3 linked regions of the Mus musculus genome follow. The protein of the gene in region 2 interacts with the protein of the main gene of each other region in a biochemical or structural test. Links are inferred from orthologs where the notes say so. Each region holds a gene or a part of one and is shown on either strand. Other genes may lie near its edges. The genes, in order: Atg9a, Ap2m1 and Ubc.

Region 1 (7,760 bases), on a different chromosome or scaffold from region 2:
CCTTTACGGCAGCGGCCCCGCCCACCAGATCTATCCAGGGTTCCCATTGGCCAAGGGTAAGGAACACAAATAGGGCTGAGAACCGACTGGGTCACATGTCCAAGGCGGGAACTCTAACCTGAATCTGACTGGAGACTTTGACCTCCACAGAGTAGTGCGTCCGAATTTGCACTCCCCACCCTCCACCCCCGCCCTTTATAAAGGCATTACACCGAGGCCTCCCTGGTCTCTAACCTGCTTCAGTTCCCTCTATTATAGTGCTAAAGAACGAACTCAGGGCTTCACACATTATCAAGCTACTGAAGCACACTAGAAACAGCTCTTCTCTGAGTCCTAGTTCTGTTCCCGTGGTCCTGCAGGCGTACTTGTTTCCCAAGCCTCCCGGCCAGGACTCTTTTACAGTCCTAAGACCCCCCCCCCCCCCCCCAAACTGCTGCGTGGGGGAAAAAAAAAGATGCCACAACCAGATCAAAGTCCCTTCTTTATTAAGGGTTATCAAGCTGTACAGGGCTCCCACCCTGTCTGCTGTGGCCTGCGACAGTAGAGTCCGCCACCTTCAGCTTAAGTTTACCTCCCACAGCTGAGCTGAGCAGAACTGGGGAAGGGAGTGCAGGAAGGGTAGGAGCTGGATCCCAGCATGCAATGTCGAAGCCCTAGGCTAGGGTGAGTCCATTATCCCTCCATTCTCCTCTTGGTAAGTGAGGGATACTGGGCAGAGCTGGGATGTATATATAACTGAGGTCACACTTCTGCCCTGCCAGCCCCTCTGTGCAGGTGGTAGGACTACATAGAAGCAGCCAGGAAGGCCTCACACTCCCAAGTGCTCGTCCTAAAAGTTGAAGAGGGTAATAAAGAATTTTCATCCTGTTCCTGCAACTTAGTAACCTTCCATCTTAGTGTCAAAAGATAGTGAGGGGAGCTGGGAGCTAGGGCTCTCACCCCAACAAAAAGCCAAAGCCAAACAGAAGGGGGGCAGGTGAACAGAAGGGGGGGTGGTCAAGCAGCACACATGCCAGTGATGTGCAGGGGGGAGGGAGGCTGCAGCGCAGGTTGAGGTGAGGACTGGAGGTAAGGGCCACAGCCTGAGCTGCTCAGCTATTCCAGGTTCTGGAGGGTGGGGAGGCTAGGCTGCAGGGATTGAGGGTTCAGGCCCTGCCTCCCCACTCCACAGTTGGCACAGGTTCTTCTGCTTGGCAGCACTTCTGTGGCAGGAAGCCCTCTGGAGACTTGCAGGGGTGGATGCAAAGATGGCAGTACTGGGACTGGGCTGGGGACCAGTTTCTAGCACCACACTCTGAGCCAAGGGAGTCCTGGAGACGAAGCTAGACTCTTGTGTGCCCCTAGTCCTCATATTCTTCCTGGACTATGGTAAGCCCAGCATTGGCACCTCCCTTGGCCAGGCAGGAACACACAAAACACCACACGTGGGGCCAGGCGACACTCAGAGAGTCCCTCTCATGGCAGACAGAAGGGATGGCAGGGCAGCTGCCACCTCCATCCTGGAGCATGGGAACCAGCTACCGCCTTGCCTATACCTGTGGAGGAAAGGAAAGACCGGTAGTACAGATAGTCTTCAGCTATCGTCTTGCCCCAGAGGAATCTAGAAATAAAGGAAAGAAAACGCTGGAAGCTAGGGAAGTTAAGTCTTGAACTTCAGAGCAGTAAAAAGAAGAAAGTGGGTTTTTTGCTTTTCAAAAATGTATTTGTGCATGAGTGTTTTGTCTGCATCGAAGTCTGAATCAGCCGGCTGTGGTGGCTCACGCCTTTAATCCCAGCCCTCAGTAGGCAGAAGCAGGTGGATTTCTGAGTTCAAGGCCAGCCTGGTCTACAAAGTGAGTTCCAGGACAGCCAGGGCTACACAGAGAAACACTGTCTAGATAAACCAAAAAAAAAAAAAAAAAAAAAAAAAAGTCTGAATCATGTGTGTGTGCAGTACTTTTGAAGACCAGAAGATGGCATCTGACCCCCTGGGGCTGGGGTTACAGACGGTGGTGAGCCACTGTGTGGGTGCTGGAAAACGAACCTGGGTCCTCTGGAAGAGCCCCCAGTGTTCTTAGGCACTGAGCCATCCCTCCAGCCGTCTGGAGAGTAGACAAGAGCATGGAGGAGTGGGAGACACGCTCCTTCACAGGAGGAGCTGGTCTTCACTGGAAGTCACCACTTCTGGCAGTGGTTCTTGGCCTCACAGCCTTTACCTTGTGCACTTGAGGGGGGAGTTCATCCTCTGAGCCCTCCTCTGGCACCGGCTCTGGGTGCCTTGATGCTGGCTGGCCATCTTCTGCCCATCCTCCCAGGGGCAGCCTGGAGAAGTGAGAGGGGCCACGGGGCACTGTGCCAGGATCTACAGAGAGAAACAAGAACACAAGGCACAGTGGGAAGGTTCTGAGGACCACTTGGAGGCTTAGTCTCCTTGCACCCCATCCTGATGGTCTCTTGCGTCTTAGAGAGAACCGTCCTTCCCCGAAACCTGTTTGCTACTGTGTTCCCAGCTGGATACCTGTGATGCCCCCGTAGCGCCTCTGGAAGCCCCCATGCAGGGCGGTGGTCTCAGGTGCTCCAGGCCGGGGTGTAGCACAGGGATAGCTGGCCGAGCGGGGGATGGGTTGGGGGGCCCGGGCACCCTCTCCCCCCTCTTCAGGGGCACTCTCTCCACTCTCATCACTCTCCCGGCGGTGCCACACATGCCGCTCGGGCTCAGCCTGGGTCTGCTGCTTGTGGAGCTGGAGAAGTGGGGGGCTGATTAGTCGGGGGCAGAAGGATGTCTGTCTGAAACAGCTGCGACCACTGAAGCATCTTCAATTCCCACTCACAAACCCTCACCTAGGAACCTAGACTCACTGCATCTCAGATGTTAGTAGTGTACATTAGCTGTGTGCTGCTCTATGGATCTCATTCTCAGGAGACCCCTGGAAAAGCTTCCGAGTAGCTCAGGCTGACCCTGAACTCAATGGGTAGTTGAGAATGACCTTGAATTTCTGATCTGACTTCATCTCCCCTGGGATTACAGATGTTTAGGTAGTTCTGGGAATGGACCCCAGGGTCCTGTACATACAGGGCAAGCAGTCTACTAAGTGACCTACATCTCTGGCCCTCATTTTACCCACTCCTTGAATCAAAGAACAAGTTAACAGAGGGTCTCGGTGCCGGGTATTATTTTAGGTACTCAGAACACAGCAATGAACAAATAGAATTGCCAGTCTTTGTGAGGCTTTTACACTAGTGGTGGTGGTTGTAAGGAAAAATAGACCATAAACTATTAAATGAAGACAAAGCCCCAAAATGTCAGATAGCACCAGATGCTATGGATAAAAACAGAACAAGAAAAGTCAGTAGGCAGCTGTGTGTGACACTGAAACATGAGGTAGCAGGACTGAGGCCAGCCTGGCTTACATAGTCAAGAGTCAGACTCTGTTTTAAAAAGCCAAGGTGGGTGGGGAAGAAAGGGAGGGAGAAAGGAGAGGAGAAGGGAAAGGAAGGGAAGGGTCAAGGTCTGAGGCAGGGCTGGATCTGGAGGCACATGCCTGCAACCCCAGCTGTTTGGAAGTGGGATCACATGTTCAAACCCAGCCTGGCTACACAGTAAGTTCAAGGTCAGCCTAGGTAACTAAGTGAAAATAGTTCTCAGAATAATAAGCAAAGGAAGGCTGTGGAGATAACTTAGGGCTTACCTAACATGCCCAAGGCCTTATCTGCTCAATCCTCAGTACTGGAAAAAAATAAATTCAGGAGAGTGGAGACAGGAGATTTTACTGAGTCTTGGAGAGAGCAGGAGGAGGAGAAAAAAGTAGGGAACATGGGAGTACTCTTGGCTAAAGATGCCACTAAGAGGACATATGTGACGGCCCGGTAAGGTGATGTGTGTCTTTAATTCCAGCACTCAGGGGGCAGAGGCAGGTGGATCTCTGTAAGTTCAAGGCCAGCCTGGTCTACAGAGTGAGTTCCAGAAATAGCCAGGGCTACACAGAGAAGCCCTGTCTTAACCCCAGCTCCTGAGTAAAGGAGTTCTGTGGAACCACAGAGGCAGAGAAGGGCTGACACCCGCCCCTCGGCTGCACTCACCTGGTGCATGTACAGGGCGTGCAGGCTCATCTCGGTGGACGCGTATTCGGACAGCACCAGGCTCTGCAGCTGTCCTTCCCACACGCTACTCCCAGAGCTGGCTGTCCTGGCATCCACTCTGTCCCTCCCAGCACAGACAGACAGCAGGCATCAACATTTGCAAGATCTAGACCAGGTTTTGTGGGCTCCTGCCACGCCCTCCCACGCTGACCCACGTCCACTCACTCACTCACCCAGAGCCTGTCATGGTACTGGGAACCCGGCCTTGAGGGGCCGCTCCAGGCTGCAGAGGGGAGAAGGATCGAAGGGCAGAAGCAACATCAGCCCTGTGCCTGGAGCCCTGCAGGTCTCTGGACAGTGAGGGTCCTCGGCAGGATGAGCCTGCTACCACATTTGCAATAAGGCTCAGTGGCTGTAGGAGGAAAAAATGGGGTAAGCAGAAGTCTCAGGGCAGGGGAGGCCTCTAGGTCCTCCAATGTCCTGACCCTCAGGACCCAACCGCTCAGACTGAAGGGAGGAAACCTGGCACCCTGTGTCCCATGCCGTTCCCCACACTGCAGTCCACTGCCCACCATCCCCCAGGCCCCAGAGCCACACCTCGGACTCAGACTGTAAGGACTGGATGGATGTGAAGAGGGCATTCTCGGGGAGCAGGCCACCCTGGGCCAGGCCAGCAGCTGCTCCATCTCGCTGCACCTGCTCCTTGAGGAAGCCCAGGAAAGCTGTGCTCTCACGAGGGGGCTGCCAGCCGGGATTGGTGATGGCAAAGTGCATGAGCGACAACTCGGTCTTCCCGTCCTCGGCTTGCTGGTACACTGAGGCCTCTGTCTGCCCTCCAGACAGCCACTATGCAAGGGAGATGACAGGGATCAGGCCCGAGCACTCACAGCAGCCCTTCCGGCAGGACAGTGATAGCAGGGCATTGTCATATCTGTCAAAGCCCTGATGCCCACCCCAGGAGTGGCCACATACTGGGTCAGTCACTTGAACTGTACTTTTTTCTCAAAGGAGTGTGACTGATGGTTCAAATCAGGGCTGGAATCCAGTCAGATTCCTGGTGACTAAACAGTGTCTCTGGTGCAGGGATGCCCACAAGTGGGGCTACCCTTTTTGTGTTTGTTGGCTTGGAAAGGGCAGCTTTTTGCAGTTTTCCCAAGGTTACTGTGTGCCAGCATTGTCCCTGGCCATCTGCCCTGCCCTCTCCCAGTACCTGAGGATGGCCATGCTGGCGAACGTCCATCTGAGCAAAGGAGCAGGTGTCTCCCACACCCACGACCTCGACCGTAAAGTTGCGGAAGAAGTCTATGATCTCCAGGGCCCGAGGGCGGAGGCAGAAGATGAGAATGAGGGGTGTGACGATGGGACTCAGCAACTCCTCCAAGATGAACACCTAAGAGGGAGGGGGCCGAGGTTACCCGCAAGCAGGACACAGCCCAGCCCGTATCACCAAGATACCAGCCAGTCTCTAGCAGGCCCTAACTCCAGCTCCACTCACTGCCTTGTACTGGAAGAGCTGGGCAAACTCGTCCCGGGTCTGCGAGCGGTGGGCATTACCCTGCCAGTGGTCAGGCATGTAGTGGATGTGTGCAAGAATCACTCGGAGCAGCTGCTCGGGGCAGAACACCATGTGCTGGTCTGGGATGAAGGACCTAGTGGGATTGGGCGCATGGTGAGACAGAAAGAAGCCTTTCCCAGAATGCCACTCTGCTATTCCCACCCGCCGCCCTGGCACACCTGCACACAGTCACCGTGACTCCCAGGAGGGTGACCGTGGTGAGGACGTGTTCCACAGCTAACACATCTTCATCATAGATGGTGAGGGCAATAAGCACAGCCAGGATAGAGCCAGCGAAGAAGGCACCATTCTTGGCCAGCAGAGTCAGCAGCGGTGACAAGAAGCAATTCATGTACTTGGAGGCGGGCTTGTAGCCTCGGTTGAGGCGGGACTGCAGCTCATGCTCCAGCTCATTGAAGTGGCGGAGGTAACAACGGCCATAGAGTGACCAGCAACGCGCTCCCAGGGCCCCCGGCTCTCTCTTCAGCACCTCGGCATAGCTGAAGAAGGCATAGAGGATCTGCCAGATGAGGATGAGGGGACACAGCAGGAAGTTGGCGATGCCAATCCACAAGATGCGGTTGCTGAGACGCTGGGCCAGCTCTAGCCGTTGCCCTCCACGTTTGTACTCGGCCTTGAGGCTCCACTCATTGAGAAACAGAGAGCCGGGTCCCCAGAAGAGGATGAGCTCAAAGTTGTACTTGAGGCCACGGGTGAAGAAGACAACCTCTCCGAGGCCGGGCAGACGGAAGCGCAGAGGCAGGAGGGATTTGTTCACCAGGGCCACCATGTAGTTCTGGAAACGTAGGATGCGATGGTAGATGTCCAACTCTGTCAGCTCACGCTTGTGGATGCAGATCTGATGCTCTTTCTGCGTCTGCACAATCCGGGCCTGAACTTCCTGCCATGTGCAGTATGGAAGGGCAGACTGCCAGGATAGGGTGGACAAGAGACAAGTATAGGAGATGTATAAAGTATAGCTAAACCCTTTGTTCAACACAGATGTAGGACTTTGCCTACACAGATATAAGTCGTATGCTTAAAGATACTTCCTGCGGGCAGTGATGGCGCACGCCTTTAATCCCATCACTTGGGAGGCAAATGCAGGCAGATTTCTGAGTTTGAGGCCAGGCTACAGAGTGAGTTCCAGGACAGCCAGGGCTACACTGAGAAACCCTGTCTCAAAAAAAAAAAAAAAATTAATAATAGCAAAGATATTTCCTGACCTGCTGTTCCAGTTCAGATCTGGGATGCAGCTCAAAAGCCCATGTGTTAAGGGCTTGGTCCTTTGCCAATAAGGGGCTGCTCTTAGATGAGATTAATTGGGGCTTTGGATCCCACCCCTTCCTGCCTTCCTCCACTTCCTGGTGGCCATGAAGTGAACAGACTTCCTTTGTTGTATGCTCTTACTGTGATGTACTTCCTCACCACAGGCCCCTAAGCAACCAGATCAACCAATATTATCAACCAATTATAGGCTTGGATCTCCAAAACTGTGAAAATCCTTTCTCTTTAAATATGCTGATCATCTCAGATTTTTTTTTTTGCATATTAACAGAACTCTGACTATCATACCTGCCAATGAGAGCTATAGACATGTGATGCTCAGGAATACATATCATCCTTCTAGGATTGCTTGGGCTGTGTTGCTAATGGTTCAACTTCTGGTCTTACCATTGGGATCCGAAGAGCATGTAGGTAGAAGGAGTGGATCTCCCAATAGCAGCAAATGTTATAGATAAACTTGATAAGCCGGTGGATCCAGAAGACACCAGCAATGACCAGGATGGTGATAAGAGAGCCATTTTCCTGAATCCTGGTATGGAAAAAGGAGATAAAGTAGGGTCCCTGAGGATGGAGTCTTAGCAACACGTTCTAGAGTATGGATTGCTGCTTCATACCCCACTCTCCTCTCTCCTCAGGACCATCCTTACCTGGCACTACAGACTTGGGCAGGCAAAAAGGCATCTGGCAGAGTGACCTTGACAGGCTCAGTAGGATGGAGACTGTGGTTCACCATCTTGTTGGCAAAGAGGATGTCATAGTCCACACAGCTAACCAGGAAGGTGGTGAAGGCAACCACAAAGAGGAACTGCCTGGGGAGGTGGAAAGAAGGGATGCAGGCCATGAGTCAGAGAGGCGCTGG
Region 2 (7,725 bases):
TACTGGCCTTTGGGGAAGCTCTGAGGTGAGGGGTAGTCAACCTTCCCACTGCAGAGGTGTGGCCACAGGGGTAGAGAGAAGAGGAGAGCACCTGGCTTTGGTCACAAAACTCAGGGCCTGGCGCTAAGCCAGGACAGACAGACGGAAGAGAAGCCTCAAAAACCACCCTCCCAGGAAGCCAGGCACTACCTGACCAGTTCCACTGTGGTGTGGCTGGTTCAGACTTATACTCAGGGGCTATTGGAAAGGAAAGGCAGCAGAGCAGGACGGAGGAACGACACTGGTGAGTGGTCACTAGGGGTACTTGGACCTGTGGGAAGGGTGGGTAGGGAGGTGGGCCAGCTGCAACTAGGCAGCTAGCAGCGGGTTTCATAAATGCCACTGCGGCCAATGTATCGCACCCATTTGATGACATCATGGTCGCTGTAGTTCAGCTTCGGTTCGAATACCTTCAAGTAGCGCACCTTGAGGCCAGAAGGCGCGAATGGCACCTGAGCAGAGGACAGCTCCAGTTAGGAATATGGCCCTTCTATCACAGTACTCTGGCAAATTCCATGGTTCACCCACCCTATCTACCACAGGTGTTCTTGAATGACTGGTGTGGAGGGAATTCACTAGGAGACTACCACGTGAAGAGAGTTACTAGGAATCAGGACACATCTGAAGCTGAGCCCAGTTGTGAGGATAAAACTATTGCTCTAATCCTTAGGTTGCCAGAGCACTATCTCTGAACTACTTATCCCAGAGAACTACCACTGAACATACTTATCCCTGCCAATGCTGTGGACTTGAAAATAAAGTGGAGAAAATGATGTGTCTTATTCACACAAAGCAAATGTTTCTCAAAAACTATTTTGTGACAAATCAAATAGTCAAAAGCTTTTGGTCAGTTTAAACACCAATTTCTATTAAAAGGGGATGGGTCTATCAATTCAAGACATTTCCCAACCTAGGCCCAGTTCTCTTATTCCTAAGAAGTAGAGTCTAATCAAAATGATCAGAGAGTCTCCCATCACACCCAGCCATTGCGCTATACCCCTCCTCTGCCTACCTCAAAGTTCATGGAAATGGGGGGCCGAGCCCATTTCTTCTTATCGTTGGTGGGCAGGAGCTCAATCTCTGCGCTGATCTGGGATTCCTTCATGCCTGCCATGCGCTTGATCCTAGGAACACAGAGGGAATGGGCAGCAGGAGGCTGCAGTAGTTACTCCTTCAGTACCCGGAGCTGCAGTTTCTCCCTCACCCAGACTGTACGCTTTAGACACAAGTCGACAAGGGCCAACGGGAATATCTTGAAAACTAGACACACGTGCTCCTCAAGTGCATGAGAGATGGAGCACACACACACACACACACACACACACACAAACACACACACACACACACAGGCTCCTGGACAAGCATGCACTCTTTTCTCACCCTATAACCCACACAGAGGACAGGTCAAACTTAACCGGAAGGTACACTATGACGCCTTGAGCCTGCCTGTGGCCTCCTGAAGACTCACTTCCATACAATGGCGTTCTCGCTGGCCTTGTACTTGGCCTTCCCCTTCATGCAGATCACCTGTACCCCGCTTGTGTTCAATGGAGTCGGGATCCTCACCTAGGAGTGACACACCCGTCAGTGAGCTCTGGGGAGACCTGGATCATCTATCTGCCTTTTCTTCCCCGAGATAGGTGTTTCACTCTCCAAGTCTCCAGTCCTCACCTCAATCTTCTGGGCCAGAAGTGAGGGCTTGAAGTTGGACTTGATGACCACCTTGACCTCCAGTTTGGTGCGCCCCACCTCCCGCACCAATGGGATCACCCGGAAAGGAAGGATGATGTCCTTGGTAGTACGGTATCTTTGGAGGAGAGAACACATGTGATAGCACAGGGCCAGCCCTACTCTCTTCCAGATGCACCCCCTGCCTCCTCCACACCCCCATGGCACCTCATGAGTTCAAACTCTCCGTCGGGAGGGATGAAGCTGATGCTCCGCTCAGAGTCAAACTTGCTGAGTCGCACACACTGGTGGAAGGTGCAGTCATCAATGGCGATCGACTGCTTACCACTGTAAACGGAAGCAGAGCTCAAATAGGTACATGTCAGATTAACAGACCATGCCAGAGCAGGCTAGCCACACAGATTATGGGAAGCTTCCAGAACACAGCTTTCTGACTTGGAAATCCCTGCCCTGCAGTTTGAGGTGTGGGAGAGCCTCTGGGTTCCTTATCACCTGAGAACTTTGTTGCTGGGGATCAAACAAAAAAAGCGTGCTCTCCAAGGACAAAGACAGTCCCTCCATGCCTTATCGTCAATCACAAGACTAACTGGCCAAGGATGACTTGGAAAGACAGTTAACAATTCCAGAAATGAACTCCAAAGGGAATCTGGGTTCACTAGGCCTCACTGGATTCTCAAAGGCTTGCTCATCCTTGTGTCCCTTGAGCTCCCAGACACCGGTACCTCTTGCTTGTTTCATCAGCTGTGCCTTTGCCCTGCTTTTCTATGACAATCTTGTCATTCATTCCAAACTTGCACTCAGGCATGCCACTCAGGTAACTCTTCATCACCACCCGGCCTGACACATGGGCACTCAGCACCTGCCCTGGTGACAGAACAGAGAAACAGGGAGCAGCTGAGCCACGCCGACAGGCCAGGACCTACCCACCCCCAATCCCCGGTCTCATCATGAGAAGACACTTACCCTGTGGGGACATAAGCAGGTTCACACTCTCCAGAACATCTAGGAAGAGTTCATTCCGGCGATACTTGATGCCTTCTCGCCGCCAGCCAATCTGCCCGGTCACCTGGCTGGTGATCTGGGACTGTTCTTCCTTCGTCTATATGGGATAAAGGTGGCCAATGACCTCATCCCTTTCCCCGTCCCATTACCCTCTGCCCACTGTATCACGTCACTCTCCCTCCTTCCTCACAACCCTTACAGGGCAGGATCTGCAGAACAGAGTGAAGCTGCAGTGGGAGAAGTGAGGGAACAACTTACCTGATGCTAGAAGCCGCAGAGCCAGCAAGGGGCCAACACAACAGGAAGCAGCATGGTAAGCAAACAAAGGGAGAAAGCGATAAGGCTCAAGTCTGAGAGGAGAGCCCACGTGCTTTTCTGAGGAACACAAGGCCTGAAGAGCAGACACACCCCTGTCCCCCGTGTAGAAGAAACCAACTGAGCTGTATTCCTGGTAATAGAGATGCTGAGTTGGCAGCTTCTGGGGTAGGAGAGCTAGCTACCCAGAGCAAAAAAGGCCTGCAGTCATGGTAGGAGGGCTGAGGCCAGCACTTCCTGTCAAGGGCAAGCTCATGAGTCAGCTAGAACAAGGCCAGGGATCAATAGGAAGGAAAGGAGTTTGGGGTCCACCCTGTGTGCTATACAATTAACTCAAGTACCTGACTCTTGATACCCTGCTGGGTGATGAAGGTTTTCAGTGCACCTGTCTCTGAGTTCTGTGGGTAGCCAAAGTCCAGAATCTCTGTAAAAAGAAGGGAATTACAGCCTGGCAGTGAGGTATATGCCTTTAATCCTAGAAATCAGGAGGCAGAGGCAGGTGGCCGAGTTCAAGGCCAGCCTGGTCTACAGAGCCCGTTCTAGTACAGCAAGGCTACACAGAGAAACCCTGTTTCAATAACACAAAACAAAAAAACAAAAAAAGAAGGGAATTACTAGTTTCTGGAGAAAACAAAAGATTCCTTCCTTCCAGTCCCTCCTCTGGCCCGGATATCCCTGCCTAGAACATAGAACAGGTCCTGGTGCTGTACAGAATCACCTACAGCCAAGTCTTCTAGCTTAGAGCACTCAGCTTAGGATTTGTTCTTCATACGAAAATACAACTTTTTTCTTCAAATGTAAAAAAGAAAAATCATGAAAGAGTCACATGGTCAGTGAGTGGGTAAGAGGATTAAAAAAACCCTGAGCCCTCCTTTTCTCCAGAAAACAGATGGTGGTGAAAGGGAAGTCGTCACAGATACTACAAGAGGAAAGAGGACAACCAAGGGACCTACAGGACTTCCTCTTCTCCAGGCTCTGAGGGAGTGTTGAGATAAGAGTTGAGTTCAGTTTGTGAAGATTTTAGGCTAATACAGGTGGCTTGGCCACCAAACCCCACAGTCAGGTTCCTAGCCCCAGCAAAGACTAAAACTTCGTGCTGGCCTATTTTCATATTCTACTCTAAAACAAGACCCTCTCAGTTAGGCCCCTCCCCACAGTGGCATTTAATCCTCCAATGTCTCACCATCCAGCAGCTCGTATATGAGCACAAAATTGTTCTTGATGTTCTCCTCGCTGATTTTGCCAAAGTAAGCAGCCATTACATCACACATCTTGTAGAGGAATTCGAAGACCATGGCAGCATTGACATTCTGCTTGGTGACTGCGGCCAGCCAGATGTTGGACCGCTTAACATGGAAGAAGCTGGTGCGAGCGATGTTTGTGACAGGGCTGCGCACCTGCTGCCGTGCATGAATGACATTGACCCGAAAGGCATCCACAGCATTCCTCCTAAGGGAAAAGATGCAAAGAGGCAATTCAGTATTTAGGCAGACCTCACCCCCTGAGGATCACCTACAGATGCTGGCTGCCCCACCCTCCACACCACTGAAATCTGACATATATTCATAAGTCAAGGCCTAAACCACTAGGGCTCCCTTCTTATACCACCTGCAGGGTCCTGGGAGAAGGTTCTGCACTGGCTTGCTACCTAAAGGGGAACTCAAATGATAATAACGGGAAGAGTGCCTGTAGTGTTAATAAACTGACTCCTGGGCCTGACTTGCTTTCCCAGATACACCCCAGCTGTCCCCACTCTAGCTTTCCAGGAAGTTCCAGGCCTGCAGAGAAAGAGATCTCTGTTGGGTCCATCAGTGGGGAAAGCTAACTCTTCAGGGAGTTGAATAAAACTAGTATGACCTTGGAAGAGTCTACTCTAAAGGGTGAGAGGGGCTATAGACTGTGCCACCCACTTCTTTTCTAAGGTCTGACTTCTGAAGGGGATGAAAAATGATGAAGGAAAACAATTTGGGGGGGCAGGACCCCCTGTACCTGAGCGGCAGCTTCACAGGCTGCTTACCTATTGCTACATCAGCCAATGAGATGGGATGAGAGAAATGACGTCAGCAAGGAGGAGATTGACAGCAAGGAGAGAGAGGGTTAGACGACACACAACACACCAAGGTGGGCAGCACATACCATGAGGGAGAAGCAGACAAGACAGGCAACAGGTAGAGAGCACGCTAAGGCATGCAGGGTGCCATGTGGCCCAGCTGTGGCATAAACCAGGACCATCCAGGCTGGGAGTAGCAGGAAGGAGTGGAACCAGCCAGGTTCACTTAGGCTAGGCACTGCCACAAACTAAGTCTAGGTTAGCTTTACCACCAAAAAATGGATACAGCCACACCAAGCTAGCCCATTAGCCAGGGAGGCAAGAAGGTAGGAGAGCTACCATAGGTCTATTCTGAGACTATTTATCTCAAGCTCTTTTGAGAAAGAAAACCAAGGCAGGAAGAAACAGAAGAGCCTAGCCTCAGGCTAGACAGTGGAGGATCTCTTAGCAAGCAGCCAGAGTGTGAGGCAGAGTGAGAAGTGAGACTTTAGGAGGTCTTAGGAGCTGTCCAGCTCCACCCAGATGAGCTACAAAGGCAGCATGACCCGCAGAGCACAGTAAGCCGGTTCACAACCAGGGAGGGCCCAGGAGAACTGAAAACAGCTGAGTCAGCAGACTACAGAGAGGTTTTAAGGGGATCTAGGGAAGGCTCTCAATATGAGAAGGATTTGAAAGCAAGATTTAGATGGATTAGTATCTCCACACACACACACTAACTACACCCACTGGAGAGAGTGCTCCCTTCTAAAAGGAAGACCAGGCAAAAGCACCTGGTCTTCAGCCACCAGACCTACCCCAAAGACACAGGGAGCAGGAAGGGCAGGGATTCCTAACCCTAGGGGGTGGAGGTGTCATTCCGAGGCCTGGAGCCTAGCAGCTAGGCCAGTGCCCAATGGGAACCAGGCTATATTGCATGCTCAGGCTGAGGCAACAGGGAGGTTGAAACACAGCATGCTCAGTCAAGGGACTTACCCGATGTCATCTCTGTAGACCCGGGAGATAAGCACCTCCCCCTTGTGATTATAGATGAATAAGCCTCCGATCATGGTGGCAGCTCAGTCTCTGTGACCCATTGCTCTGAGAACAGACCTAGGTAGGAAAGGGGAGGGGGGATTAGGGAAAGGGGAAATCTTTAGAACCCGTCCACGCCAATGGGGCTGTACAGGCCCGCCTTGTTTCCTGACTCAGTCCTCTAGCAAGTGACTCCCAAGTCCTCCGCAGCCCTCCCGAGGCTCCAGTTCCTGTTTTTCCACACTGGATAGGGGACAGCACTTTAAGAGTGTGAGGCCCGGGGATTTAGGCCATTTTTATCCAGCCTTTTCTGAGGGCTGAGGAAAGTAACCACAAGGCCGAGCTCAGCCCCCTACTGTGCACTCTCACTCCTGCTGCTTCCAGTGAGTCACAGAGAAGGCCTGCCTGCAGATGCAGGAATGGCGTGGCGGGAGGGATTACTCTAGTTGGCTTGAGCCTGGGCCTGCCACCAGGCATAACCTTTAGAGCAAGCATTACCCTTCCAAGAAGGCAACGGAGCATGACCCTCTAGAAGTCTACACATTCCAGGAAAGGGTGTGCAGGGTGAGGTGGGGCTGGGAGGGAAGAGGCCCTTAGGCTCTAACACAGAGCCAGGAAGGTGGCTGAAGCAGGCACATCTTTCCCAGGCAGAGAGATAAGCAGACAAAGGAACAGAGGCCCGCTTAATAAGTTCTTTAAAAGATTTCATTTTTACCGACACACAGGTACATGCCAGTGTGCTGTATGTGTGGAAGCTAGGTGTTAGACTGAACACTGCCCTCCACCCCTCAAGCCTGAGTTAGGGTGGTACTGAGCCAAATGACATGTGCCGGGACCTGAACTCAGGTTTTCTGGAAAAGCAGTAAGAACTCTTCAATGCTGAGCCCCTTTTACAGTTATTTCTGGTTACTGTCTTTTCAAAATTTCTAAGTGTGACAAAAATTAGGTCTGTATGTAGTAGCATTAATCCTGCCATCTAAATTGTGTCTCCAAATCTGCCAAGTCAGTCACTTCTGGCCTGGTGTTTACCAAGCAATGGGCAGGGATAACAGAATGCCTCGACTGCCCAAATTATTTTGGTCAAAATTAAGGTAGAATATTTGAGTAACGGGGTTAATCTGGTTCTAGATTTCTGGATTAGTCCAGATATTAATTTCACTGAGGTTAGTTTAACAGACTTTTTGAAACTGAAAAGTTAACCCTTGAAGCCCAGTGACAAGTCCAAAGAAGGTGAGAAAGAAAATGCAAAATGGAGGTTGAGCGCTGAGCAAAGGACCAAGTCCACAGGTATCAACCTCGGGTGGGGGATGGTGTGTGTGACCTCGGGGGGGGGGGCGGTGTGTGTGTGTCCTGGACGAAAATGCAATATTTAGTTAAGGAAAGGGTTAGCTGGAATTGCTAGCAAAAGACCAGGATGACCCCAAAGCACCAAATACAGCTGTGGGAGTCCCTAAAGGTCTCCTATGGCAAAGGTCATAGGAGCTTGGGAGGAGCGAAAAACAGCGAAAAGAGATAGACAAGAAAAAGAGAAAGCTGAGAGACAGGGCCTACTCTTCTGTTAGTGAAGCATAGGGGGCTGGTGGAGTTTTTCTCAGCTGAGGGAGGAGAAGACATCTAGG
Region 3 (4,152 bases), on a different chromosome or scaffold from region 2:
GATCAGCCTCTGCTGGTCAGGGGGGATGCCCTCCTTGTCCTGGATCTTTGCCTTGACATTCTCAATGGTGTCACTGGGCTCGACCTCCAGGGTGATGGTTTTGCCTGTCAGGGTCTTCACAAAGATCTGCATCCCACCTCTGAGGCGAAGGACTAAGTGCAGGGTGGACTCTTTCTGGATGTTGTAGTCTGACAGGGTGCGGCCATCTTCCAGCTGCTTGCCTGCAAAGATCAGCCTCTGCTGGTCAGGGGGGATGCCCTCCTTGTCCTGGATCTTTGCCTTGACATTCTCAATGGTGTCACTGGGCTCGACCTCCAGGGTGATGGTCTTGCCTGTCAGGGTCTTCACAAAGATCTGCATGCCACCTCTGAGGCGAAGGACCAGGTGCAGGGTGGACTCTTTCTGGATGTTGTAGTCTGACAGGGTGCGGCCATCTTCCAGCTGCTTGCCTGCAAAGATCAGCCTCTGCTGGTCAGGGGGGATGCCCTCCTTGTCCTGGATCTTTGCCTTGACATTCTCTATGGTGTCACTGGGCTCGACCTCCAGGGTGATGGTCTTGCCTGTCAGGGTCTTCACAAAGATCTGCATCCCACCTCTGAGGCGAAGGACCAGGTGCAGGGTGGACTCTTTCTGGATGTTGTAGTCTGACAGGGTGCGGCCATCTTCCAGCTGCTTGCCTGCAAAGATCAGCCTCTGCTGGTCAGGGGGGATGCCCTCCTTGTCCTGGATCTTTGCCTTGACATTCTCTATGGTGTCACTGGGCTCGACCTCCAGGGTGATGGTCTTGCCTGTCAGGGTCTTCACAAAGATCTGCATGCCACCTCTGAGGCGAAGGACCAGGTGCAGGGTGGACTCTTTCTGGATGTTGTAGTCTGACAGGGTGCGGCCATCTTCCAGCTGCTTGCCTGCAAAGATCAGCCTCTGCTGGTCAGGGGGGATGCCCTCCTTGTCCTGGATCTTTGCCTTGACATTCTCAATGGTGTCACTGGGCTCGACCTCCAGGGTGATGGTCTTACCAGTTAAGGTTTTCACAAAGATCTGCATCGTCTGTCACAAAATATACAAAACAATTCACAGGTCAGGAATGACACAAATATTTGTGGGATGGCATCAACATTTGTCAACTGGATGCTATAAGTCTAAATAGCAAGGTCTATCTACACAGATTCTGTCTTGAATCCAATCCCCCCACCCCGAAAAACCATCAAGAAAATAAGATTGTTGACTAACAAAGTTAAGAAACCTCGGCATGGTGAGTCTTTTTGTATTACCAAATTTACAGGATGGAGACTTCAGTATACCAACAGCTGAAAGTCAATTTCTGTCTATTTGAACAGTTTGCAGAAAAGCCTGACCTCTGGGAGGTTATGAAACCACAGCAGTCCCGGATTCAGTTTCAGAATGGTAATATAGCAAGTTACTACTGCAAAACTAAGTCTGAGCCCATGCCTATCGCTGACCTCAGCACTGGGGACACTGAGGTGGGCAGATCTCTAACTGGAAGGTCAGCCAGAGACAGTGTAATCCTGCCTCAACTCTCCTTCCCCCAAAAGAACACCAAACTTTTGTCTGAACGATTAAAATTAGTCTGGAGTGGTGGTACTGGCCTTGGACCTCATCACATGGGGTGGTAGAGGCAGAGATTTTGACAGTTTAAAAAAAAACACCCTTGTCGCAGGACAATGGTGGTGCCTTTCGTCCCAACACTTGGGAGGCAGAGGCAGGAGGATTTCTGGGTTCGAGGCCAGCCTGATCTACAGAGTGAGATGCGGGACAGCCAGGACTACATAGAGAAACCGTCTCGAACCCCCCCCCCAAAAGTTTCAGTAGTCATAGTTGTACAGCGACATTCTTAAAACGAAACAGGACAAGAATGGCTCACATTTCCCCTCTGAATTTCCGGTTCCTGTTTACTCTGGAGAGGCTACCGGAGGCCGAGACCCAAACCCTGTCCTACAACCGAGGGAAAGCTAAAGTCAAGATAGTGACGTCACTATCCATTAGGAGGCCACGCAACCCGCGACGTCACAGGGGGCGGCAGGCCAGGCAGGCTGAACCGCCGCCCAACCCCCTTCCGGTCTCGATCGCACTTCCGTCTTTCAGCAAACGAACGGACGAACGCCGGGCCAATCGACCTCTCGGGCCAGCCCAATATCCACGGCTCTCACAGCAGAGGCTCCTACGGCGCGCAACCCTAATTCAGTCCCCACCCCACAGTCTCCGACGTCCCCGGCTTAACCGGAGGGCAGCGGCCTCGCGGGCCTTTTTCCTCCCCCAACCTCGTCCTGCGCGTCAGAGCCCCGCGTCTTCCCCCTCAGGCTTCCATCTGGCCGCCATCTTGCCGCCCAGTCCTCTGCCTCGGGGCAGCCGCGGTCCGCGCGGGCCACGGAAACCAAACGTCTGGGCCGCGGGGCTGCCTCTCGCCCCGTCTCGCCTCCAGCCTCCCGTCCCCGACCGGGTGCGGCGGCTTTCTCCTCACCAGCGGTGGTGGCGGCAGTCCTCACACAGCAGACGGAACTCGCAGTCTCCACGGAACTAGCTGCGGCACGCCCGGCGTCTCTTTATATAGTCACCGAAGCCCCGCCCCCCCCCTTCCGCGCGGTCCCTCCGCGGGCAATGCGGTCAGGGACTACTTTGTAACGCCGGGTCCAGTCTCGGCAGCGAAAGCGACAGGCTAAAACTATCAAGGTACCTCTCTCACGGAGTTGTTTCACGGTGGCGTCCAGAGATTGAGGGGCTTTGTGTGGGAGGGCAGGGCTGTGACCTCGGGCGACTCCGCGGAGGGATCAGCGCGCGTGAGACGATCGGCACGAAAACACGGCTGGGATCACTGAGGCCGGAGCGGGCCTTGGCGCAGGCGCCCTGCGGCTTCGCGGCCTGGCGCCCCTAGTCAGGCCACCACCCCCCACCCCCCCTGTTTTCTTTCCGCGCTAGGGGGACCCAGGGCTTTGGCTCCTGTCACACTGGGATCCCATTGGTGACCTCGCCTCCTCAATCCCCTCATCCCCGGCGGGTCACTATGCCCAGCCCTCACTGTTTTGGCACAGTGACAGGGTGGATGACTGTGCAAATCTCCTAACAAGGAAAATGACAAAGGGTTTTTAATAAATTTAAAAAAAAAAAATACGAAGGAGGGAATCTCTCCCCGATTTGGAAAAACGAATCTGAGTTTGTCAAGGAAAGCAGACAGTCTACACAGTTCTTGAAAACTGTTGGCATTAGATCTGAAGCCCAGCAGAACCTGATCTTTCCAGATTTTTCCTAAACCTTGTGTCCTTGGATTCGAGAAGGTTCTATGTTTTCTATGTGCTTGTCACTAAGTAAAGGTCAAAATTTCCAAATGTTGTTCATATTTGTTGTTCATATTCTGAGACTGAACCCACTGAAGCCCTGATTTTTAAATTTTTGTTGTTCAGATGGGGGTTTCTCTGTGTAGCCCTGCCTGTCCTGGAATATGCTATGTAGACCAGGCTGGTCTCAAGTTTATATAGGTCCTCCTGCCTCTGCCTCCCAAGTATGGTCTACAGATCAAGTTCCAGAATGGCCAGGGCTACACTTGACTTGAAAAACCAAAAACCAAACAAAAAACCCCCACAAAAACAAAAAAGCACAAATGTGCACGTGTAGTACAATGTTCAGATTACAGCAAGCATATATCCCACTTATACGAATCAAATTATTCAGGGTTTTTTTTGTTTTGTTTTGTTTTGTTTTTTTTTTTTTGGTTTTTTGAGACAGGGTTTCTCTGTGTAGCCCTGACTGTCCTGGAACTCACTTTGTAGACCAGGCTGGCCCCGAACTCAGAAATCCACCTGCCTCTGCCTCCAAAGTGCTGGGATTAAAGGCCTGCGCCACCACTGCCCAGCTCAGGTTTTTGAAATGTAAGGCCTAAGACCTTAGAAGGTAAGAATTGAATCCCTGATGGGGAGAGATGGCTCCCCAGTAGGAACAGGTCTTTTTCCAGAGTACATGAATTCAATACCCAGCAACCCTGTCAGGCAGCTAGCTTGTGACTCCAGCTTCAGGAGGGTCCAATGTCCCTAGGGACACTTTCACATACATGTGGCACACACTTAGATGGACACACACTATTAAATGCCTTTAATCTCAGCATTTTTTGAGTTTTTTTGAGACAGGGTTCCTATATGTAGC

What was found.
Region 1: the proteins of Ap2m1 (region 2) and Atg9a interact in a biophysical measurement, tested with the Homo sapiens proteins (4 studies listed by BioGRID and IntAct, with this or other methods). The link is inferred for Mus musculus from reciprocal best matches to the Homo sapiens genes AP2M1 and ATG9A.
Region 3: the proteins of Ap2m1 (region 2) and Ubc form a complex in vitro, tested with the Homo sapiens proteins (2 studies listed by BioGRID). The link is inferred for Mus musculus from reciprocal best matches to the Homo sapiens genes AP2M1 and UBC.

Annotation. Positions count from the first base shown.
Region 1 is NC_000067.6:75,180,397-75,188,156, forward strand, and holds the end of Atg9a (autophagy-related protein 9A), read right to left. Parts: intron 7,711-7,760; coding exon 7,549-7,710; intron 7,431-7,548; coding exon 7,289-7,430; intron 6,791-7,288; exon of another isoform or gene 6,543-6,790; coding exon 5,794-6,542; intron 5,709-5,793; coding exon 5,555-5,708; intron 5,450-5,554; coding exon 5,270-5,449; intron 4,906-5,269; coding exon 4,657-4,905; intron 4,472-4,656; coding exon 4,293-4,471; intron 4,178-4,292; coding exon 4,060-4,177; intron 2,721-4,059; coding exon 2,498-2,720; intron 2,342-2,497; coding exon 2,196-2,341; intron 1,536-2,195; coding exon 1,530-1,535; coding exon of another isoform or gene 1,442-1,529; 3' UTR 465-1,441; downstream 1-464. UniProt on the Homo sapiens protein: Phospholipid scramblase involved in autophagy by mediating autophagosomal membrane expansion. Cycles between the preautophagosomal structure/phagophore assembly site (PAS) and the cytoplasmic vesicle pool and supplies membrane for the growing autophagosome.
Region 2 is NC_000082.6:20,536,077-20,543,801, reverse strand, and holds part of Ap2m1 (AP-2 complex subunit mu), read right to left. Parts: intron 6,185-7,725; 5' UTR 6,142-6,184; coding exon 6,068-6,141; intron 4,495-6,067; coding exon 4,229-4,494; intron 3,470-4,228; coding exon 3,387-3,469; intron 2,995-3,386; coding exon 2,989-2,994; intron 2,828-2,988; coding exon 2,692-2,827; intron 2,593-2,691; coding exon 2,451-2,592; intron 2,056-2,450; coding exon 1,936-2,055; intron 1,847-1,935; coding exon 1,711-1,846; intron 1,606-1,710; coding exon 1,508-1,605; intron 1,164-1,507; coding exon 1,052-1,163; intron 492-1,051; coding exon 357-491; 3' UTR 1-356.
Region 3 is NC_000071.6:125,387,218-125,391,369, forward strand, and holds the start of Ubc (polyubiquitin-C), read right to left. Parts: upstream 2,801-4,152; 5' UTR 2,693-2,800; intron 1,048-2,692; 5' UTR 1,045-1,047; coding exon 1-1,044.